3 linked regions of the Diceros bicornis minor genome follow. The protein of the gene in region 2 interacts with the protein of the main gene of each other region in a pairwise test. Links are inferred from orthologs where the notes say so. Each region holds a gene or a part of one and is shown on either strand. Other genes may lie near its edges. The genes, in order: SYT11, PRKN and RGS2.

Region 1 (8,116 bases), on a different chromosome or scaffold from region 2:
CCCAACATATATTTACGTTCTGTCTTCCCTCACTAGATAAGTTAATAAGAATAGTGACTGTCTATTTTGTCCACTGCTGTATCCCCAGGTCCTAGAACCATGTGGCACATAGTAAGTCTTCAGTGAACAAATGAGTTAGTGAAGTCAAAACAGCCCCCACAGATTGGAAAGAGAAGATGAGGTCAATATGATTACATATATCAGGGATACATGTAAAATTCTATTTGGCCTTCAAAACCTATCAATAGGCAATAGGAGACCTTACTTGACAAGTTTGAGCAAAAATAACTTAGTAGTTTAGGTAACCACAGCTTGCAGTCTAATCAGGCTAATGTCTATTTTTTTTTTTTTTTGTGAGGAAGATCAGCCCTGAGCTAACATCCATGCTAATCCTTCTCTTTTTGCTGAGGAAGACTGGCCCTGAGCTAACATCTATTGCCAATCTTCCTCCTTTTTTTCCCTTTTTCTCCCCAAAGCCCCAGTAGATACTTGTATGTCATAGTTGCACATCCTTCTACTTGCTCTTATGTGGGATGCTGCCTCAGCATGGCCCGAGAAGCGGTGCGTCGGTGCGTGCCGGGGATCCGAACCCGGGCTGCCAGTAGCAAAATACGTGCACTTAACCACTAAGCCACAGGGCTGGCCCCCCAGGCTAATGCCTATTTATACTATGAGTACAACGTCCAGATCACAGGAAGGATGGTATAATTTCATCTGCACTGGTCACATTGCACATGGAGTGTTCTGTCTAGCACTGACAAGAATAAAAACTGCGATTTTTTTATGTACATTTATTATGTTCCTGCCAGGCATTGTGCTAGAGCTTTTTCTCTCTGAATCAAAGAACTCAGTGAATGGGTACCATTAATATCCCCACTTTACAACTGAGGAACCTGGGGACTCAAATCTGTCCTAGGCCACATAGGAGCAAATGGCAGTAATGGGTTTTAAACTCTGGTCTGCCTGACACCAGAATGTCTCTACATTACAGGTAATCAGGACAGTAAAAGACCTGGAAACCATATCAAATGAAGAAAAATTGAAGGAACTGGAGCTGAGGGGTCTAGGAATAATACATTTCTTCAATTACTGAAGGCGTTTTGATGGAAGAAGTTCTGATTTGATTTTACTTTGGAGGGCAGGTCTAGCATCAGTACGTATAGGCTACAGGAAGACAGATTTTGACTCAATGAAAAGAGTCAAATTATCATTAGAACTGCCGCACACTTGCCTGGATTGCTTCATCAGGCAATGAATCTCCAATTGAAAACTTTCAAACAGGTTGGATCAGGCATATTCTGAAAGGATTTCTTCAATGGGGATTGGACTAAATGTCTCTAAAGGTCTTTCTGCCTCAAACATTTCCATAGTTCTATGAAAGTTGGGACCAGGTAAGAAAAGAAGGGGTTGCCTTTTTAAAAAACGTAGATAAGGAGTAAAGCCATTAACAAAATAAATCAAAGTGACCATGTCCATGGCCATACTGAATAATAATAGTGTTTATTCTCAGTGTATTAAGTGAAATAAGAGTTGTTACGGAGAGGTTTCATAAAATTGGGCCAGCTTTGGTGGTAAGCTCCTTGAGAATAGGCAGAAGTAACATCCTGTTCATCTTCCCTAAGTTTCTTGTATCTAATAGGAGCTCAGTAAATATTTGTTTGAATAATTGATTGGATTCAATTGTCAATTATAATGGGCACAAATCTAATAAAGTGCCTCTCCATCACCAATCAGGGACTTTCCTGAAAATTGTTTGCTAGTGATTAGTGAAACTGAGCATTGATTGTCTCTATGAGAAGAGGAAAGCAGGGAACTACCAAGACAGGTATATTTTCAAGAATGATTTGAAAGGGAGATCTAAAGGCCCAGGTTGGAAGATATCTGAGTGATCCTTTTGGCTCTATCATAGACTTGGTGATCTTGAGAGAACCCACTGCTACTGACAATGCCTCAACTTTTACTGTTAGAAAATAGAGGTGGAGTGGGTAAGAGAGAAGATGTAGGATTCTCATCTTTCAGAAGGACAGAGAAGGAAAAGAAGAGAAACAGATGAATCCATTTGTGGATTACCTAGTGCTCTCCTCTATCTTGTTGCCCACTTTTGCCCTACTTTCTTCTTCATTTTAGTATGTGTTAACCCCTGCCTCTCTCCCTGACACCCAAGGCACTGAACTAGAAAAATCAGAAATGTTGAAACTCAAAACGCTCTGTCTGGCTTTAGTCAAAAGCTTGGTGGGAAAAGGAAGTTGGAACTAATGGCTAAAGTGAATGTTTTAAAGTAATTGTAAATTGCAGTGACCCGTGCTGCTTGCTCCTTTTGTCCTCCAAGGTCACGGATAATTGAGTGTTGGCTTGGTGTATCTCCCAAGGGCTATGGCATTTGAAATGAAGTATTCTATGAGACGTGAAAAAGATCAGAAGTGGCAGTTCTCTCTGTAGGAGACCCTCTGTATGGGTCTAAAGGCCTGCAAGAGACACCTGGGCTATGCTCAACTCTCTCAGCCTCTGACCAGATCTGCTTATTGACACTTCCTTTACAATAATAGCCTTTCTCTGTCAAGCAGGCCAGTGCAATACAGTGAAATGAGAGTGAACTTTGGCATCAACTGGACACTGGTTTAAATCCTAGCACTACCCTCACTAGTTTGTTTGACTTTAGCCAAGTTATTTTATCTCCCTGAGCCTCAGTTTCCTCATCTGGCAAACACATACTATAATGCCTACACCGGAGAGTATTTGTAAGGATTAAATAAAATGTATGTAAAAGGGTGATATAGTTTATTTTCTCTTTTCCAAATATAGCTTCTAAAGGAAATCGCTATATTATGCTCCACACCATCTAACTTTCCAAGAAATCGAAAACTGCGATTAGAGAAAAGAACATGTTGGAAAGAAGGCATAAGAAGAAAAAGAGCAGGAAAAAAAACCATGAGGTGCTCATGTGGCCCCAAAAGGGCCATCTCTTTTGGAAATTCAGGACTCAAGGAATACAGATGCAGAAGGTGAAGTGGAAGAAAAAAATACAACCAAGAATCAGCCTTGGGGAATCAGTGGGAACATTAGTTAGTGGGTGTGATCTGTTGTCTGGATACTTTCCTGATCTGATGTCTTCTTCCTGATATAGAAGGGATAGAGCACATTGGGTTCTGCTCATTTCCATAAGCCTCTTACTCCAGGAGTGAGAAAAGCCATTTCCTAGTTGGATTGTAGCCCCACCCTAAACCCTGGAGTCTGGATGCTCAAACCTGGATTGTCTGGGGGATAGAATCTTAAGGGATATGAAGGAACCCTAGGCTGACAGCAACTCTCAGTGGCTTCTCCCATCCAAACGAGTAGAATTGAGGGAGAAGCAGGGCAATTCTTTTTTTATTTTCGGACGAGGGAATCATAGCACAGGAAGTTTGTTACCCTAGCACATTCTGGAGGAATCCCCAAAGAGGAAAATACTTGCTTCTCGAGCTTTTCTTTCCCATCTTCTTCCCTATTTTCCACTCCACTCTGCCCCAGGGAGTGTAACTGATCTTGGAGCCCACAGGGCTGGGTCGGGGACCAGCGGCTCCGAGGTGACGTAATGCTTTCTCTGGTACACAAAGCGGCCTCCCCCGGGCTCGGCCTCTCTCGCCCCTCCCCCTCCGGTCTGGCTCGGGCCCCCGCCAGCTCCAGCGCGGGTGAGTCCCCCTTTTTGAAAAGCCAGCCCAGGGAAACAGGGAACAAAGGCCTGGGAAGAAGAGCCTAGGCGCTGCCAGGAGGCCCAGAAATAGACATCACGTCATCCCCCAGCCCAGCAGCGCCAAGCGCCATTTGGTAGCATCAGACGGACCCCACCATTACGATGCAGAATAGAACTTGCAGGGCTCACGTTTCCTCCGGCCCCAGCATCCAGCTGACTGGCTGAAGGAGTGGCTTCCTTTTTGCTCCCCACCCCCGCACCTCTCTTTCCCCAGAGGCCGCCGCCTCCCCTGGCTGCCAGCCACACAGCCCACAGTCTCCAAGCTGCCATCTTGATGCCCCATCCCCCGTGCCACCTCCCTCCCCCGCAGCCCTAAGGAGTGGGAGGGGGAGGTAGGGGCACCGCCCTGCGTGCCCCAAGGGGGAGGCCTCGGCCTACCGCACCTCTCCTCCCCCAGAAGGAGGGGTTCACGTCCTCCGCAAGCTCGCTGTTTCTCACCTCCAGCAGTGCTGACAGTGCACCATACAAGGTTTTAGCACCCTGGACCTCCCCACCCGCGGTGTGGCTCTGGCCTTGCCAGCCCCCGCAGCCCATAGCTCAAGTTCAGACTCTGCCACTGCCCGCTACCCACCACCACAGGCCCGATTCTAGTGGGGCTGGCACTTGAAGGCCATGGTCTGGGCTTCACTCCCTGCCCAGCCGCTGGGCTCCCTTGGCTTTGCAACAGTTTCGACTACCCCAGGCTTAGTTTGCCCGACTCTACTTACCAAAGCTAGGTCGGATATTGGTGATCTCAGCCATGTCGTAGTCAGAGGCTATTGCTATAAATGCTTTTGCAATGGTTGGACAACTCTGGGAACCCCCGGTCAGTACTGAGGCCGCCGCTGCAGAGCGCTAGGTCAGGGGAGGGGGAAGGTATCTGACGGACGCCTCCTGCGACGGTCTGGTCCCTGGTTGCCAGCTGCGGTCGCCTCTTAAGATGCTCCAGGGATGCTCTGAGCTAAGGATGCAGGTGCAGCTAGACTGGTCCTGATGCGAGGTAGGCCCCGCCTTCCTCCGAACGGCCCTCGGCAGAAGTCTCCGCCTCTGTCCGAAAAGTTCCGGAAGGCAGGCCTCGCCCCTTTCCGGAAGATCTCAGGGAGGGGACCCCTCCCATCGCCGAGGTTTCCCGAGAATGAGACCCCGCCCACTGACAGGCTGTGGGTCTGTTAGGCGAAAACCCGGAGGCCTGAGTAAAGAGAATGTAGGCGTTTTATATGAGATACTACAGATCCTGTGATTCTGGTTCCCTGGGCTTAATATAGCAGCAGAATGTTCTGGGTGAGAGGGAAACCAGTATTTTGAAAAAACAAAATTCTATACTGCCTGCATTTCAGTATCAATTGTCATTATGTAATGCATTTCTGAAACCACTAAAGGTTATTATGCAAACTTTCTTAAACTTCAGAAGCTCTGATTAAAGACCAAACCTGGTGATGGTTGCACAACTCTGAAAATTTACTGAAAATAATTTAATTGTACAAGTAAAACGGATGGATTTTGTGGTGTGTAAATTAAAGCTCTTAAAAAAAAAAAAAGACTAATGAAGAGTGCCAAAGTTAATCAGTGTTGGATATTTCTCTTCCAAAACTGCAAGGGCTTAGGACAGAGTGAGAGAGAGAGTGAGGGAGAGAGAGAGAGCGAGTGAGCCAGCAAACCAACAGATCTGTGTATTCTGTAGGTTCAAAAGCAGGACGCAAAGGAAGCTCCAGGCTTCTCGAGACTTCCTTGGCATTTGGGAGAGTTAGGGTGATTCAGGTTAGAGTCAGGATATTGGCGGTTATCGCCATGATTACATCAATTTCACCCTTCATTTTGGCTGTGGACATTTTCATTCTATCGGATTCTGTTTACAGATAGGATCAGGTCAAATAGATTACCTAAATGCATAAATATTTGTTGGTGGTTCACCTGTAAAATGAGAGAATTGAATGTATTTTTCCAGCCTTGACATTCTGTTCTTCTAGAAAAGTGGAAAGAACATGGTTCTAGGAGTCACTTATTCATTCAAAACACATGTCTTGAATATTGACTATGCCCCAGGCACCTTCCTGGGCACTGGATCAGTGCATTAGAAGCTAGAGTTAGGATACCTGATTCCCCTTGATAGCTGTGTATCTTTGTGAAATCACCTACCCAGCTGAGCCAGAAATTTGTCCTGCTTAAATTGGAAGGTATAATAATATCTATTGTCCTATAGGGTTTATTGTGAAGATCAAATCACATATGGTAACGTAAGTGAAAGCATTTTGTAAAATGCAGAGTATTATACAGATATGAATAATTACTACTGATTGAGTCCAAGACTGCTTTAGCTTTATTCACGAAACTGCACTATTTGTAACCCAGAGATTCCTCTTTCCGAAATTTTATGAATTCTCCATTTCCTTGGTCCAGTATTCCAGGTGTCTCGCGGTGAGAAGGATTAGATGTCAAACTAAACCTCTGAATCTCACTCCCTAGTTTTGTTTTGAGTAGGATAGCTCCATGGACAGAGGAAAGCGAGGTATTGCCTTTAAATTTTTTTGCCAACAATTGATGTACTAGCTCTGTGGCTTCCTTCCGCCCTAAAATAAGATGGCGCCTAGTGGTTGGCGCATGCTCCTGCACGACCTGACGCCGCGCACCGCGACTCGGGTGCGCGCACGTCAGCCGCTGCCGTTGGCTGACTTCCGGTGATACGGGAGCTGAGTTTCCGCGGGATCGGGCTGGCTGGTGAGGGTACTAGGTTGTGTGCCATGGGGCCGGGAGAGGCAGGTGGGCGCTGGACGCCTGGGCGAAGGATGTCCAGGCAGAGGGGGTCGGGTCTGAGCGCTGGCGCGGGGTGCATGACGGAAGGTAGAGGTGTGAAGGTGTCTAGCTGGGGAGTAGGGACTTGGGCCAGCGCTCGGCGCCGAGGTGAAAAGCCCAGTTAGAACCCCTTTTTGCAGTCTTTTCCCAGGAGAGGCCCGCGCTGGGGCTGCCTCCGGATTCGCTTCATTCACCCTGTTGATCTGACTCCAGTTCCCAAAGTGGGGGCCTGGTTAGAGCTTCTGCTGAGTTTGAAGTGCCTGGAGCCCATCCCTGCACGCTGCTGGGTTTGAATAGTAGCTGCCTGCCTGCCTTTCTTTTTTTTTTCTTTCTTGGACGTCAGTAATTCATCGGTGAAGTATAGGACTCGCCTAAACTACTGCTACTCCACTTCTTACCCACTCACTACCCTCCTTCACAGCACTCAGCGGAATCTTAACGTGTTTATTGAGCTTTAATTACCAAGATAAGGACATCAGTTGATTTTGGGGGCGGGGGAGGAATCTCTGCTAGTGTCCTGGAGAAACTGAATTATGGAGGTGTAAAACTAACCTTATAGTTCTGACTCTTAGAGTTAGAAAGAACTTTATTTTGCAGTCCACTAGTCCAAGCCTTCATCTAGTGCTCTTACAGGTGGGCATTCAGACTTTGTGTGAGCATTGTCGGTGATGAAGAACTCGCTGTAACACAAGGCAACTTATTCTATTCTTGGACCTATTTTATTGAGAGTAAAGTTTTTCTGGGTAGAAAGATGCAGTCAGTTTCCATGTAATGCTTAACTCTTGGTCCAAATGCTGCATAGAATAAGCACAGAATAGGAAGTTCACACTCTCTTGCTTTCATTCATTCATTTATTTAGGGAACATTCATTGAGTATCTACAATAGGGCAGATACTGCTGGGTACTAGGGGTGCTAGTTGAAAGAATCCTTTTCCTCAAAAGCACATAGTTTTAGGGAGAGGGAGACAGGAAGGACAGACAAGAAGCAATCACAAAAGTGATAAGTACTATAAAAGAGGTTTGCAAACAGGTGCGGTAAGAACATAAAAGAAGATACCCTCCAGTTTTGGTTAGTGTAGCCCTTAAAATGTGATGATTGGAATTGAAGCCAAGAGTCCAGAAGTAACATAATATAGAGAAGAGTAGGAATCTCTCTTTTCAACGCAAAATTTTTGTTAATATAGCCTAACCTTCTTAAACAACCACGCTTTCCTTTTTGAATGCTTCTGTTAGTGGAAATACCTGTTTATGAAAACAACAATAGCAAACATTTATTGATCTAATAAATTATTATCTAATGACATAGGTGCTATTTTTATTTCATTTTATAGCTGAAGAAACTGAGATTCAGGTTAAGTAACTTATGCAAGGTCACAAAACTGGAGAGAAGCTGACTTGGGAAACAAATCCAGACAGTTTGACTCCACAGTTTGCTCTCAGCATCATGCTATTCTACCTCCCTGATGGTAATAATAATAGCTAACACTAATCACTTACTATTTAATTCTTATAACAACTCTATGAGATAAGAACAATTATTATTTTTTACAGTTGAGGAAACTGAAGTTAAGAGAGGTTAAGTCACTCAGCTAAGATAACATACTAATCAGTAGTAGA
Region 2 (8,116 bases):
AGAAAGGGTGGAATCCTTACCCCAAATACGTGTCTTATCAGTCCAACTAGATCACAGACTCCTCGGGGACAAATGGTCTCTCATATTTCTTTGTGTCCCTTTCCCACAGGCCATATATACACCCCCCGGCCAGCAACACCTGATCCAGTACCTTAGAACGAACTAACACTGAAATCATTATTGTGAATTGAAATACCTATTAATCCAAGGAAGAAAGTTTTCTATTTAGTGAAAACAGATATTTGAACTGGCCTGGTGAAAGTCCTAGTTCATGAGGACACATAGGAGTGGGGGAAATAGTAATCTGGGTTAAAAGGAATTGCAGTACGATGTTCTCCTATAGGGTGAAATAAACAAGCCAGGAAGGTGAGCTGCAACATAAAGCAGCCGGCTGTCACATAAATCTTTCTTTAATATTACAAAACTTAAGAGAGAAACCATTCAGATTACTACAAAGAAACATTTAAAATGAGCTCATTAAATGCAAATTAAAACAGAAACACTGAATAAGCACTGGGCCACAATTAAAGGCTGAAGAAACAGCAGGTAGGAAACAATTTCCATTGATCAAAGATCTAAAAGCTAACAGAATCAAGTATTCTACACTGTAACTGCTTTCATGAATATGAAGCATTTCAAAGTAGAGAGAACTTTTTTTTTTGCATTTTTCAAAGAAGCTTTGGAGGTAGAAATGCATTTGCATATCTTAATACAAAGTACTTTCACTGTATCATTTTCAAGCAATGAAGCTATGAGGTTTCAAAAAAATGCAGACTTCAAAAAAAAAAAATCCTTAGAAATAGTTCCAAAACTGAAAAGGGCATAAGGTCATCATTTTAGAGCTTTTGGACCCAAAGAAGAACTGTACATAATTACATGAAATGTTCTATGCCAAAATTTAGTAGAACTTCTTTGTGGCACAACTGTATCTCATCATCAACAGAAGCTTTTAGAGCCTACCCCGGGTACTCAGACGCAGGGTCACTCTTCATCTCAAATTATTGAAATAGAAGGGAAAGTAGCAGTACACAGTACATTCAACTAGAAATATAAATTCTGAGACCTTAACATTCACCACATACGAGCTTTAAAACAAATATGCAGATTTGTGGGCAAAGAGTAAACTTAGACTGTACATTCCTGATGGCAGGGCATCTTTTTCTGTTTTATTCACTAGTGTATCCCTGGCACCTGGAGCAGCACTGGGCACATAGTAGGTGCTCAATTATTAGATATGCTTTTGTGAAAATAAAGCATTATCAAATGAAAAGTGGCAGGTTTTTTCTTCATAAGTTCATTTTAAAAATTAAAATATACTGCTTTTCATCTATCAGAAAGGCAAAAGTAAAAATAGTTTATGGTACACAAGGGGGAAATGGGCACTCTTATAAACACTGTCAGGAAGGGCAGAGCCAACAAGGACAACACACTTTGTGCAGTTTGTGCACTGCTCAGAGGCACTAAACCTAGGGTGAGGCAGAGGGGGAGAGGGGAAACCCAGCAGGTGCTCTGCTGGTGAAAGCTGAGTCAGTCCTGGGAGGGATGTCTTTTTGTAATTTTTCAGCCCACAGAGAGAGGGCAGCTCTTTGCTACCTTGTTGTGGTAGACAGGAGTATAAAATAGGGCAACTTATTTGAGAACAATTTGGAAATACCTAGTAAAATTCAAAATCTACAAACCCTTTGACTAAAAAATCCACCCAGAAACTGTAATAAGATTTTTACTTTACATATATACTTAAACATTCAAATAAAATGATACGGACACAAACATACCTGATGATAGCAATTGTCTGTAAACCTACTAAACGCTCATTTATTGAAGAGTATTTGCATAATTTGTGTATATCCAGAAAATAAAACACTAGGCGGGAATTACTGTGAGGTGGATCTGTACATGCAGATATACGAGTTTTCTAAGAGATGTTAAGTTAAACGACGTACAAAACAGACTATGTTCTAATTATTGTTTTTTTTTTTAACTCAATCACAAACCTTTTTAAAGAATAAGACATTGAATTTGAATTTCAATATTGGCAACATTGTTGTATAAATATCCATGCACTTTAATATCTGATACTACTCAAATACCTGAATCCAGTTCTGCAGGACATTTAGAATATACCTCAAATATCACTACTAAAATTCAATTTTAAATACAAAGAATTGCTAATTTTAAAAAAGGGTGAAATAAATTTTAATAGAGGTGTCCAAAATTACATTTTTCTAAGTTGAATTTTCTTAAGCTTTTCTATTTTGCTTTACATTATCCTCAAGTCCTTCTCCACACTTCTCACAAAGTTATAGTTTTTCATCGACTTCAATTAGATTATGTTTCTGTAGCTGTCTGGGTCAGGGCATTTAACATATCAATCATAATCCAAGTGGGGAATGTAAGTACTTTGGAAACAGTCTCCGTGCCAAGAAGGAATCCCGGGTTTTAAGAAAGTAAAAGGAAGGTAATTTTATTGGTAGTGAGGTAATAGTCAATCTCCTTTACTCCTATTCCACTGAGAAACCCATTTTTGTTTTTCCTCAAAAGTGATGGAAGATTCAAATAAAGTAGAAGAGTACTATTTGCATTAACGAGGGTGTAGCAATTAAAGAGAGCACAGGCATGAAAGGGGCAAGTATGAGTAGCACGCATGTCTTTAGCAGAAAAAACTATCCCCAGATACATGTGTATTTGTTCTCCAGCTTATCACTGCGCAGAGACTATCACATCTTTCTTGGCTCTAAAGTTTAGTTGCGGAAACAGGAAACCCATCCCTCTAAGATGTCCCTTCACTTGCTTCCACTTTCACTAACCTTTACCATTATTCAACACAACCAAGTCCAAAACTGGCAGTTAATATTTTTATTAAAATATGCCCACCAACAGAATTGGGCAATGCAACTAGTTGTATAAAATAATGTATTGCACACTGTCCACATGGTTTTATATGGAAGGTACTTGTCCTGGGAAGGGGCATGGATTTAATTATTTATGTTGTAACACACATTTATCTGCACTATGTAAAACAACAGCTGGAGTATGGGAAAGAATGCCTTTTAAATCCACCTCATATTCTCCATGTCATTACTAGACATCGTCTAATCAACCACACCGTACTCTTCCTTCTTGTGGCCCTAAATCCCAAATAAAAACTAAACTGCCTAAACATATTTCCTCCTAATAAAGTTATTCATATAATCATTTATTAGAATTTAGAATTATGATGATTTTTAGATTTTTTTTTTCTTAAATATTTCTTTCTTTATTTATTGTGTGTGTGGGGGGAAGAGCAGCCCTGAGCTAACATCTGCCAATCCTCCTCATTTTGCCGAGGAAGACTGGCCCTGGGCTAACATCCGTGCCCATCTTCCTTCGCTTTATATGGGACGCCGCCACAGCATGGCCTGACAAGCGGTGCGTCGGTGCGCACCCGGGATCTGAACCCGAGTCGCCAGCAGCAAAGCGCGTACACTTAACCGCTATGCCACGGGGCCGGCCCCTGATTTTTAGATCTTTAAGTTCCTGTCTTCTTTATATAGCTTTACCATAAATGTTTCTTTTAAAATTATTCATGCATTACATTAAGTTGAATTAAAATTTGTGCAATTGTCTTTAAAATAAGGTATAGACTATTTTTTCCTATAAAATAGTGATAGTATGGATTTTGAAAAACTTCTACTTGGTTTTCTGATTCAGATCAGATTTGTGTTTACAAGTGGATCTTGTGTAACTGCCACCTAAAAAGGTTCAAAAGATTCCTAAATATTTACACATTTTTATTAATTTGACAGCTTTCAAAAGTCATTCACCAAAAGTTATACCAGGCTAGAAAGGTAAGAAAAGTTGGACATCTTTAGGTTTTATCATTGCCGCAAAGACAGTGTCAGTTAACTGGCATGATTCTCCTAGTTACAGGTAGAATGTTTTACATTTTAACATTATTTTCATAAATAAAAGATTTAAGAAGAGTTTATCAGTGCATACAAACTTACATATTTTAAAAATCCACCTCTCATCTTTCTGGACAAACCACATCTGACTTCAGATGCACTCGCTGCAATCAAAAGTGTTTTGTAAGTGGCGCCTGTCAAGAATAATCCTAAAATAAACTCACTAAATCTTCAATGCATAATCTAAAACAAGTCTCTGTCATAATAAACTCCAAACTAGCAATGTTTTCTAATCATATTGTGCATTTCCACTAATTTTCAGAGATAATCCCTAAAATAACTTTTGGTTTAACAACCCTGGAAGAGAGGAACTTTGCTAATCTTATACATCACAGTGCTTATAAACAATTCTAGTAGCCACTTCCAAAGCTTTATTCACAAAAATGCACCTAGGTTATTTTGTGTTTGGAAAAAAAAAAAAAAAAAAAAAAACTTTTGCATAGTGAATTAATGATTCACTATGCAAAAGGTTTAACCCTTGCTATGATTTACTCTTAATCGTTCATCTCAGACCTTCAATGAGAGATTTAAAAGAAAAAATCGCAGGGAGCAAGAAGTTTAAATCCACCTGCAGGAATTTCTTTTGATGACAACCATCATCACCAGGTACCTTCCATTAGAGTCAATGCTTCGCTAGGGTCTCCCTTAAAGAATCCTACAGACAGTGGGTCCCAATCTGTCCTAAACTGGAAGACACCGACCAAGTCTCCCTGAGGGATGGAAATGGGGGCGGACAGGAAGGCCTTCCCACGGACCCCCACAGGTCTGACTGAGCAGTGCACTCGCCGTGGGATAGTGGAACCCAGCGTCCACCTGGGGAGGAGCACCCCAGGGTCCCTCGCCAGGTTGTCTTCAGTGGGAAGCTTGTCACAGCAGGGGCGGGGTGGGGGCTTAGAACACACACTGGGCGGGCACTGGGAAGCCGCCGGCGCGGGCAGAGGACGGCGCGGACGCTGCCGCCCTGCCCTTGACAGTTGGCACTGGCAGGCACCCTGGGGTCCCCGTCGGCCGAGGCCCGGCGTGGCGCCACGGCTGGGCGCGGGACGGCGCAGAGAGGCTGTACCTGGCAGGCACCCACGTACCGATCATGGTCACTGGGCAGGTGGAGGCTGCCGGACAGGGCGAGGACTACCAGGGCACCGAAGCCCACCCGCGCCTTCCACCAGCGGCGCTCCGGGGTTAAATCGTCCAAGACTCCCCTCCCTGTGCCCAGCCGTAGGAATGCGCAAGCGCGAACGGCGCGCAGCCCGGGGCTTTCTGGGAGTCGTAGTTTTAATGCGTAGTTTCTCCTCACCCCCGCCCGCCTCCCGCCGCCTGCCGCCCGTCGGGACTGAGGCCCAGGAAACGTACGTCACGGGGGGCGGGACCATTCGGCCGCCGTGTTGACGCGTCGCTTAGCAACCGGGAGGCTAACCTTTAGAAGCTTGTTGCAGCTCAAGCCACGGTCCAGCCCTCTTCCCGCCCCTCCCCTCCCCTCAACTCCCTTCACCTAGGAGCTGCCAAACATCTGGATCAACCTGGGCACTACGAGGGGGTTGAAGTTCTACCATTAACGCGCCTTTTTACATTTTTTCCCGACCTCCTTCTCACATCCGTAAAACCCACTGACTCTTTTACTACACGTTTTATGAGAACAAGACATTTTCTAGGAAGATGGTGGCAGAAAAAGAGACCTTGAGCTTAAACAAATGCCTAGACAAGATGCCGAAGAGGACCAAGCTGCTGGCACAACAGCCGCTGCCGGTGCACCAGCCTCACTCCCGGGTTTCTGAGGGCTTCACAGTCAAAGCCATGATGAAAAACTCAGTCGTAAGTGATCTTTCTAAACTGAATGCACTCGCTCCGAATCAGATTGTAGAGGCTGGCTGGCCCTAGGATGGATTCGGAGCCCATGTCCTGGGTGGTCTTTGCCAAAAATGGCAATTATTCAGCCAGTAGCAGATGGTGCCCAACAGAGTGTGGAGGTCCAGGATAGGTTGTTAGAAAGGATCTTGGACAAGTGATGTACTATACCCATTTATAAGCACCTTCCTAATAACTCATGGTTTCTAGACCACCGCACATCACTCTTAAACTATTTACACAAAGAAGAAAGATCCACTTTGCTTGTTGATTCCTAAACTAGCCCAGTCAGCAAAAAGCCTCATTGAAAGTGAGTTCTTAGAAATCCTAAATTCTCTTGTAAAATTTTACATGTGCTGATGTACAGCTGGAAACATAAATATTAAATAATCTACAATAGGAAATCTCATTAATTCAGCCTAGGAAATTTTAGAATATCCTAGCATTTACTCTAAGGGCACTGTTTCTCACAAAAAGAAAACAGCAGGTTAGAGTACTGAAAGACACCTGAATATGAAGTCTATTTCCAGATAGACCTTTTAAACTGCTAATTTTAAACAAGCCAAGCTTCACTTCAAGTATCTCTGTTACTACAATTCGTATTTCATTTCTATTTTTTGTGGTAGTAAAAAGAAAATATTATCAATACCGTTGGGGGAAAAAGGTTTAAATTGCACACAAATAGTTTAGCTACATGCACGATAGGTATAGGAAAAAAAACAGCTTTAAATTTGGTATGCTAAACCAAGTTTTACCACGGGGTAAGCAGCTGTCTGGGAATGAGGTATTAAATAATAAATACAGCTTTCAAATTTGTGTAATTTACACTCTGGGAGGATCTGACTTATTGTATAGCAACTCATTATGTTAAATGAATAATGTTGCTTTCCAGTGTCACGTTATTTGTTTTACGTAAATGTTGTAAACCTAATACCTTCTTTCTAAACCACATCCTTAAAACACATGAATGAAACATATTACTTCTAGACCACTAGGCCAGATTCCCATGTTGCTACACAAAATGATATTCTGGTTGTTGGAATGTGTCAGTTGATTTACAGTAGTTAAAATTTTTGGAAATAGAGTAAAACTTCTGCTTGTTGTAACTGCAGTCTTTCTCCCTGTATTTCACGTGAATAGGTGGTCATGAGAGCCAAGACGACTCATTTATCAGCAATACAATGTATCATAACCTTAAAGCTAATTATTTGCTTTTCTTCTAAACAGAGTTTATAATTATAATTTTAGTGATTTTTTTCAATGTTATACTTTTTCAAAGACGTAAAAAAATTGGTCACATTCTTCCTCTTTTTTTTTAAACTCATGTTCATAATCATGTTTATTTTTTTTAAAACATAGCCTTATACTTAAAATCATAATTCTGGAAAATCAAGTATTTCAGTATTGCCGAGTGTAACAAATATGCTTACAGGACTCAAAAAACCGTTGATTATGAAGCAGCCTTCTTTTTAAACAACTTATTTGAGATAAATTATCTTCTTATTGCCATATTTTTAAGGAAAATCCTGTAGTGTAATATCTATGTCTCCACTGGGATCCTCAAAATAGGATGTCATTCTTTCACTTCATTTAGTGGAAATCATAATTGTTAGAGACAAACATTACTCGTCCCCTCATTCATTCAATCAACAACACCTTTTTTTTTTTTAATCTAAACTAAGAACTTGCTAAGCACAACTTTGGGGTTTGGGACCAGCAAAATAGAGTTCCTGCCCTTAATACTCCAAGGAAAACCACCGCCAACAACAACACTAAAGTATTGACGAAAGAGAGATAAACAGTACTGTTTATGCAAACTAACTTCAGTGGTACAGGAAATAAAACCTTTCATTTTCATACCCAGTATTTACATTTCACTGTTTCTGTCTTCAACCGTATAAACCTTTCGGCATTATAAAGTCAAAATACCCCTCTTTCTTAAGGTTTATTTCTGTTAGAAAATAATATGCCAATCTCTAGCTTGTCTTAATTACAACCTCTTGTTTCAAAAGCGAAGCCCTAAACCATTTTTCTAGTATTGGGACTTGCCTTCAGTTCCTTCTTTCCAATACTTGCTAATTAAATGTCACCATTCTGGTGCTCCTCCACGAAAGACATATAGAACCATACCCTAAGGAGTTCTATGGAGATTCCCAATGTTTCTTTAAGAGTGCTGTAGTCATATAAGGCTACAAACTCGATCATAAACAGATTTGATCAGATGGGCTATGCAAGCAGAAATCTTTATTTAAACAGTCATAATCTATATATGACAATGCAAAATTAATTACAAAATAATGATAAATGTAAATGGCTGGTTATTTAAATTC
Region 3 (8,116 bases), on a different chromosome or scaffold from region 2:
ATTTTTCTTTTGGCAAATCAGAATAAATGCTGCCTTTTTTTTTTTTTAAGTGGTTTACAATTTCTAAAGCCCCTTGCTGCCTCACAGGAACCAGTGGGATAGGAGGAAGGTGAAAATAAGGAACCAGGAAAGATGAGGACTCCCAAGGTCACAAAGCTCTGAGAAATCATTACGGGGGCTCAGGTTTTCCAAATCCAAGATGAGGGCTCCCCCTTTTTTAAAATTAAAACCATAATCAGCGGTGGAAAAAGCACCCTGCTGGCAAAGAGTATTCCTTTTCTAAATAGCCAGTTTGAAAAATAACAGATTCAAGGCCTCCCTCTCAACTAGGAAAAGAGCACATTTCTAGATGAAGCCTAAGAAACACAAGTGTGCTTCTTTTGCTGTCCTCATTAGCTAAAGTCACATAATCAGATTCTTTCTTGGCCAAATGCAGGCAGGAGATTCAGGAAAATTCTGATTTTGTATTAATCCATCATGGAAGTGAATTTCAGGTTTATATCTTCGACGCTCATGCCAGTACCCTGTGGGGGAACTTGGACCCAAGGGAAATAAAAAAGACAGGCCTACGTTCACTTTATTGGGCTTTTTTCATCTGAGAAGCTAAGCTGTGTGATAATTTTGGTGCTGTCTCCACTATCTAATTTTACTTCTCATATTTAGCTAGTCTGTAACAGCTACTCATTAAGGGCTTTAGGTCAATGTTCTTCTGTTTTCATTAACAAGCTTGATTTTTACAAGGTCATATTAGAAAGCTTGATCCTAGGGTGGTTCTAAGGATATGATGACCTCCTTTGACCTACAAAAGCATCCTAGCAAAAGGAACATATGTTCCCTGCAACTATCATTTCCCAGTTCCAAGGACTGGCAATTCTCACTACACAGGCTCATCAATTATGATGCCTCTTCTCCACCAGAAAGGAGATGTTTTCCCTCGTATCGGCCATATTTCCGATTACCGAAAAACAAAACAAAACAAAAACCCCCCAAAACCACTCACATCTGGACCAAATATTCAATGACCTTATTTATCAAAATAAATTTATTAAAAATATTCCAAGACCACTTCAAAGTGTAGCTGCCTTCAGGACAGTTTGGCACTCATCATGGACACTGTAGTTTTCTACATGACAGCACTCATTCTATTACACACACCATTTAACAATTCAAACACAGACCATTTCAGGTTTAGAGTTACATGAGACAACAGTACTCATGATCTGGAGGCAAAAGAACTTCAATACCCTTGCACACAGTAAACGTTTTAATGTTACTTAGTACTAAACTAAAACTAAAACCACTACGTGGCAACGTGGACTGATTCAGGGAAAGATGGACAGCCAGCTAGCTAAGGCCACATAATCCCAGGTCTACTGATTCTAAATGCTTTTGGACCACTAGCATTACATCGTATCTTCCGGTCTCCCATTCTGGCTTTTCCAGTGTGAGACACGCCACGTTCAGACCACTCTCCCTGTGCTCTACACAGTTATGGATGCCATCCTGATACAAGCCCCTTCTAGAAGGCTACCAGCTTCCTGATTGACTACCCAACTTTGAATCAATAGTTCTGAGCGATGTCTCCTGAACACCCAGGGTGAATTCAAGGTCAGTCTTTTTGGCAGGTCACACAGCCTTTCCCCTTAGGAAAAAAATGAAATGTCCTCCACTTTTGGGGTCCATCTCATGGTCTTCCATCTCATGTAGCATGGGGCTCTGTGGTGATCTGTGGCTTTTTACACAAGTCCTGGTAGAATTCTGACTCCAAGAAACGAGGGTAAGAGTTGTTCTCCATCAAGCTGTATACCCTTTTCTGGGCGGTTGTAAAGCAGCTGCTTGTCGCCTCTTGTATATTTTGGGCAATTAGAGTTTTGGTTTGAAAGTCTATGTTTATCTGCAATAAAACAAAAAAGTGGTTTATTCCATATTCAGAGTTAGAGACTGAAATCTATTTAATATTTGAAAACAAAAAAACTAACAAAAACTATAATGCACAATTGGTGTCACCAGCCAAGTCACTGAAGAAAATGAACTTAATTGAAAGCTAGGGTGAGGGGAAGACATTTTTCCCTCCACCCCTGCCCCACTTTTAATGTGCTGTCTCTTCAATTCGTGCTTCACTTTGGCGCAGAGAATGTTCAAAATACACTGAAATGAGGAAACTTTTTTTCCCTTACCTCTTTTGGAGCTTCTTTCTCTATGAAGTCAGTATATATTTTCCTTGCTTTTGAGGACAGCTTTTGGGGTGACTTAGTTTTCTTGAAGTCTTCACAGGCCAGCCAGAATTCAATATTTTCTTCACAGAATTCAGATTTCAAAAAAGCCCTGAATGCAGCAAGACCATCTAGAAGAAGGGATGGGGGAGAACGGATACGGAATGTGAAGAACTGAGTCACCAAATAATCCTATTTTTTCTAGAACTCCCATTCTCTTGCTTCCATATTTCATTGTTTCTGGATGACAGCGATTTTCTAGATTTCACTCAAACCTGTAATCCTGGGAATTTAGCTCTTTAAAGACTACGGTGCCAGTAAGAAAAATCCTTCAAGTTGGCACACTGCTACAAAAATATAAATACTTAACTTTGCTGTCAATGCAAATATTTATAGGGGAGTCACAAGTTCTCTGGGAACGAAGCCTCTTGACAATAGTGTATGCAATGGAAAAGCTAACCCAACCTTAACAAAGAGCAATTGCTACTATAATTTTTTTAGGCTAAGTTTTCTTTCCCACAGGAGTGAATAAACTATGTATTTCCATGATTTAACACTGGGAAATAAAGGATAAAAATAGGCCTTATGTTATAGTGATTGTAAATTAGAATTCCCCTTGGGCAAGCTGCTTTTCTGTGATGTGGACACAACCTTTCTAGACTCTTGTGATACTTGAAATGGATCCAATTCAAGCGAGTAACTTACATTTGCTGGCTAGCAGCTCATCAAATGCTTCAGACCACAGCTGTGCTTCCTCAGGAGAAGGCCTGCAAGGGAGAGGTTCTGCACATTAGCTTATGCACATCCACTTTCTCTTTTCAGCTCAGCAGGCCAGCTATTCATATTTGCAACTACAAGATTTTCAACTTACTTGATGAAGGTTTGCTGCTTGCTTTTCTTGCCAGTTTTGGGCTTCCCAGGAGAGGAGGAATTTTGCAAGAAGTAGCTCAAACGGGTCTTCCAATCTTTTAATCTAAAAAAAAAAAACAAAAGATATTCACTAAGTGGCAACACTTGAAGTCGCTACTGCAGCCAAAGGCATTTTTACCAAATAAAGTCACCCAGTAGCTGCACACAAACTAAATAAGACAAAACACCAACTCTTCAAGTCAGTCTTACTCATCTAACATTTAAACCCAGCACCTATGTACTGAACATAATCAGTTTCATCCCTTCATCTGAACATAATTACTAGTTTTGTAACTAAGGGCAGAAATACCTAAAATTACTAGGGTATTTTAATGAATTTAGATTACATAGTTCAAAAGGCAGATGCTATTTCTGGCTCACAAAAGGCAGCAGTTTTTCTGCCACTTAATTACAATTCTGAGACATTTCACACTTGATGAAACCACAGTGGAACTGCCTTGAGCCCGCCCACGCTCATTTACCTCTACCCTTGGAGCAGGAGGCTCTGGACCACGCCAGAAGCTGTGTACAATGTTGTGTCTGTGTGTGTGTGTGTGTGTGTGTGTGTGTGTGTGTGTCTGTGCGCGCGCGCGCGCGTGTGTGTGTGTGTGTGTGTGTGTATGACTGCCTCCACCCTCGCCAACTACAACCCTCATTTTAAGCAGCTGATGCAGAACAATTTGTTCCACAGCCGTGAGTGTGCGAGATCTGCTTTTCAAGTAAAAAATAAAAATGGATTCAAAAGGAATATATTCAGAACTAGCAAAAATATCTCCATCCTAGCAGCTGTGTAAGCTGATCAGAACTTATCATTCAACGCACAAAGGCCGGGGACGCCCTTCAGCCGCAGGATTCTCTGATGTCATTTCAATGCAGGGGGACAAAAAGCCAGCCCGTAATTTCTTAGCGCATCTACTACCGCCTCCCTATCAAGAATTTTCTTCAGCTCCTAAACTACCCGAGAGTCCCTCGCTCACGTAACAAAATAAGTATATACCACACAAACAACCTTACGGAGCAAATTAACCTTTTACACTTTTTTTTTTTTCCTGCAGAGGCGCAGGCTACATAGTTCTCTATGTCCAAGCCGAGCGCGAATGCACCGCGATTGCAGCCCGCCCGGGGAGCCACGTCGGCAGCGGGGGGCGGGAGAGAGAACAAAGCCGTACTCACAGAGTCCGCTTCATTTTCTCCCGCTTCTCCTCGCTCTTGGGGCCGCTGCCTGCACTCTTATCCATGGGGCCACAGTCGTGCTGGACAGCCAAGAACATGGCACTTCGCATGCTACTCTAACCACTTGCGCCGCCGGGGTCTGCAGCAGGGCGCGCGCCGCCGCCTTTATAAGAGGCGGAGGCGCGGGGGCGGGGCCTCACGTCGCCGGTCCCGCCTCCAGAGGGCGCCGATTGGCCGGCTGCAGCCGGGCCTGGGGGCGGGGCAGCGCCGGCCTGTGCGGTCCCGGGCGCCGCCGCAGCGTCTCAGAGCGAGGGCGCTGCTGACGTCTGTGGACCCGGTGTCGTGCGCACTCGGAGCGGACGGAGGTTTCACTGTGAGTCGCCGCGGGCGATCTCTCCCAGGCGGGGCGGCCGGTCCCTCCCGCCCAGGGAGGAGCCGAAGTCGGTGGCGCTCGCCCTCCTCGCCTCCTTCCCCCCCCCCCCCCCACGCTCACGTGCTCCCGACCCCAGAAAGTGATGACTCCCCGCAGGGCAGGTTGCTGGTTGCGAACCAGAGTGCAATCACCTTACTTTGAGTTAAGACTTGCCCCTGGTGTTTGGAGCGCGCGCCTTCTCCTCACGCCTCCTTTCTGGGTCTGTAAACTGGGGGACCCCCCCCCCGCACCTGTTCCCCTCTGCGACTCCATTTAGTTTGGGGAAGGAAACGGTGAACGGGAGGAACAGTGCTGGTCCAAGGGCACACGGTGTGACCTCCTCTGCAGCTTGCCTGGGCATCTGGGGACACTTTTGGGTAATGAACATGAGTCAGGGAAGGACCAGGGGAAAGTGACTTTGTCAGACGACAGTGCTTTAACGGTGTGCGTTTTTGATCACCGATAGACACGTGGCTGGGTCTGTCCGTGAGGTTGCAGGCTTAGTCCTCAGGAGTCCTTCCAGAATAGAAATCACATATCTCCTTACGAGATAGAGGGAAACACCGAGACCTCGCAGCTGTAAGGCACCGGAATCGTTCTAGTGTTAAGAGCGCAAGGATGTAGGATTTCCTCATGAGTCATTCTTGGTTGGCTTAGAATTTACCAGAACTCTTAACTGGCAAAAGGGGGGAGGTGAGAAGTTAACAGTTTGCTTGCGTAAGTTTAATTTGTTAGCTCTTCAGAAATCCTCTCAACTGTAGGGGGCTTTAAATGGTTTGATAGGTAAGGACAAATAGATAACCTCAACTACAAAATGGTTTGATTTCAGATAACATTATTAAAACTGGGGATTGGAATATTCAAGTGGTTTTCCCATCAGGCATCTAAGTGGACAGTAAGATTAACAGCAAGGTATTGACTGGGCTGCAAATCTTCTTCTACTTTGCATCGAACTGTTAAAAGAAAATTGGAACTAGTTTAACATATTCTTATGGTGAGCTGCCAGTAGTTGGAGCTCCAAGTTTGACTTGGAGGGTAAAATTTGCAATTATTACTAAAGAGAACAGCCATGTACCTTATTATAGAAAGGAAAATCATTTCGATTTCAGTCATAAATACTTTGTGGGAAATGTAAGAATGTCATCCTTCTCAAGCTTATGCTCATCTCTAAAAGAAGTTTGCATAATATTTCCTATATCTATTTTCACTTTCTGATGATTCAGTACTTATTTATTAAATATGTGTAATATGCAGACACTTGCTTTTCCTTGCAAATGTAAATCTCAGTCGTATTTTCCACTTAAAACCTTGAATGGTAGAATTCGCTCATTCTGGAAAGGCCAGGAGTTCTGACAAAAGCAGCAGGGAGAGAGAGCTGGGTTTCTGTTAGGAGACCTAATTATAGTCTGAGCTTAACCAGTAATTACTAGGTAACTGTTGGAACTGCCCCATCACACCTTCTTGAGCCCTTTTCTCATCTGTATTGAGAGTAATGCATCTTTCTTGCCAACCTCCTTAGATATTATGTGAATCTTACCTGAAAGGCCTTGGTAAATTCTAAAGTACAATACAAAGTTTATTATTATTAATTTGCATATGTGTGAAAAAGGAAATATCTGGAAGCATAGCTATTACAGATAGAAAAATCATTAAAGGATTAACTCTGAGTTAATTAGGTTATGAATCTGTAGGTACTATTAAAATATCAAGATAGGGCCAGCCCTGTGGCTTAGCGGTTAAGTGCTCGAGCTCCACTGCTGGCGGCCCGGGTTCGGATCCTGGGCGTACACCGACGCACGGCTTCTGTGGCCATGCTGAGACCGCGTCCCACATACGGCAACTAGAAGGATGTGCAGCTATGACATACATCTAGGGGCTTTGGGGGGAAAAAAAAAGGGAGGAGGATTGGCAATAGATATTAGCTCAGAGCCGGTCTTCCTCAGCAAAAAGAGGAGGATTAGCATGGATGTTAGCTCAGGGCTGATCTTCCTCACAAAAAATAAAAAAAATAAAATATCAAGATAATGTCAAGAGATTTGTAGAGTATCAAGCTCTTAATAGATACTTACTAAATGCTCTCTGGATAATAAGCCCGTAAGGAAAATAAGCAAACTGTTTGACATTTAAACTTTCCAGACATCTCCAAGCCAGCAAAGTTCAGTCATCTCAGTATATTCACAAAAGTGAATATACATGAATCTATGTAAGCAACTGGTTTAAATGTAGACTATTCTAGATGTTTTTGTAAATTTAATGTCATTATTTGCTTTTTTCCTAAACCATTTCCAATTAACATCTGATGTTAAGTGGCAGAAAATTAATTTTTTCCTTAAAATTATGAGGTTGATAAATCTGGATGTAAATTTATCATTTCTGTATCTATGGGTAATGTTAAGAGTTAAGGCAATATCACCTATAGACTAAGAAATCTTTTCATCAAAAAGTTGCCACGTTACTGTCTTTTATAAAGACAGGCAGACATATATTGAAAGGCGAGCTACTGTTTGATGACTTCTCTTTGTTTTTTTGTTGCGACTGGCTTTTAGGTAAATGGGATTGCTCAATATTAAGATGACACATATTTTCCATTCCGTGGTGGAGGAAGAAACAATGCAATGGGTTGTAAATATTGCACAGCAAAGTCACAGCTGGAGAGTGGCTTGATAAGCGAACCATACATTTTCCATGTTGAATCTCCCATGCCCTCTACTGGAGAGGCTCTCTGAACAGGTTAGTGGTGGAGGTTCTTAGTGTGGTTCTTGAACTTTTTGTATTTAAAATAATTTTAAGTTACTGAAGAAGGCAAACAGAAAAATACAAGTTTCTAGCAATTTCAAAGGGGGAATATGAAAAGCGAAAGTCTCCCTTGCCGTACTTCTCTCTTCCCCTCCAACTGTGTGCTATTATTAACCAAAAATTATTAGTTATTATTAGCTAAAAATATTTATACATAACTTTCAGCTATACTTTAGAAATTTAGGAAACAAGATACATGCTTTAAAAAAACACAAAAGGATCATCCTGTGTATTACTCCGTGCCTTGCTTTTTTTGGTCAGTAAGATGTTTTAGTTCCTGAATTTGTAAAAGCTGTAAACCTGTTGCTTACCTCATGAAATCTTACATGGGTAGTAAGTTGAAAAAAAGGGGAAAAAAACTAGGAAATTAAACACCATGTGGCAAAGGGTGTGATGAGTAATTGGAAAAAATGAAAACTTTTAGTACCCTAATTGTTGACCATATTTGAGGAAGTGACACCTGTCTTTTCCTTCCTTCCTTCCACCTTTCTCTCTCTCATTGAACTTTAGTTGGTGAAATTCTCTTTTAAGAGATTGAACGTATGACCCCATAAGATTCTGTACTCCACTTTTCACCCCAATGTGATCTGAGATTTAAAAATTACAATTACTG

What was found.
Region 1: the proteins of PRKN (region 2) and SYT11 interact in binary tests that used the Homo sapiens proteins (3 or more experiments, as listed by UniProt). The link is inferred for Diceros bicornis minor from reciprocal best matches to the Homo sapiens genes PRKN and SYT11.
Region 3: the proteins of PRKN (region 2) and RGS2 interact in binary tests that used the Homo sapiens proteins (3 or more experiments, as listed by UniProt). The link is inferred for Diceros bicornis minor from reciprocal best matches to the Homo sapiens genes PRKN and RGS2.

Annotation. Positions count from the first base shown.
Region 1 is NC_080743.1:59,533,717-59,541,832, reverse strand, and holds the start of SYT11 (synaptotagmin-11), read right to left. Parts: upstream 4,694-8,116; 5' UTR 4,472-4,693; coding exon 4,438-4,471; intron 1-4,437. Other genes in the region: GON4L (GON-4-like protein), read left to right, coding at 7,863-7,965. UniProt on the Homo sapiens protein: Synaptotagmin family member involved in vesicular and membrane trafficking which does not bind Ca(2+). Inhibits clathrin-mediated and bulk endocytosis, functions to ensure precision in vesicle retrieval.
Region 2 is NC_080778.1:7,909,545-7,917,660, reverse strand, and holds the start of PRKN (E3 ubiquitin-protein ligase parkin), read right to left. Parts: upstream 5,128-8,116; 5' UTR 5,034-5,127; coding exon 5,027-5,033; intron 1-5,026. Other genes in the region: PACRG (parkin coregulated gene protein), read left to right, coding at 5,598-5,753. UniProt on the Homo sapiens protein: Functions within a multiprotein E3 ubiquitin ligase complex, catalyzing the covalent attachment of ubiquitin moieties onto substrate proteins. Substrates include SYT11 and VDAC1.
Region 3 is NC_080777.1:22,251,106-22,259,221, reverse strand, and holds RGS2 (regulator of G-protein signaling 2), read right to left. Parts: upstream 4,427-8,116; 5' UTR 4,406-4,426; coding exon 4,296-4,405; intron 3,187-4,295; coding exon 3,085-3,186; intron 2,981-3,084; coding exon 2,919-2,980; intron 2,345-2,918; coding exon 2,178-2,344; intron 1,895-2,177; coding exon 1,700-1,894; 3' UTR 979-1,699; downstream 1-978. UniProt on the Homo sapiens protein: Regulates G protein-coupled receptor signaling cascades. Inhibits signal transduction by increasing the GTPase activity of G protein alpha subunits, thereby driving them into their inactive GDP-bound form.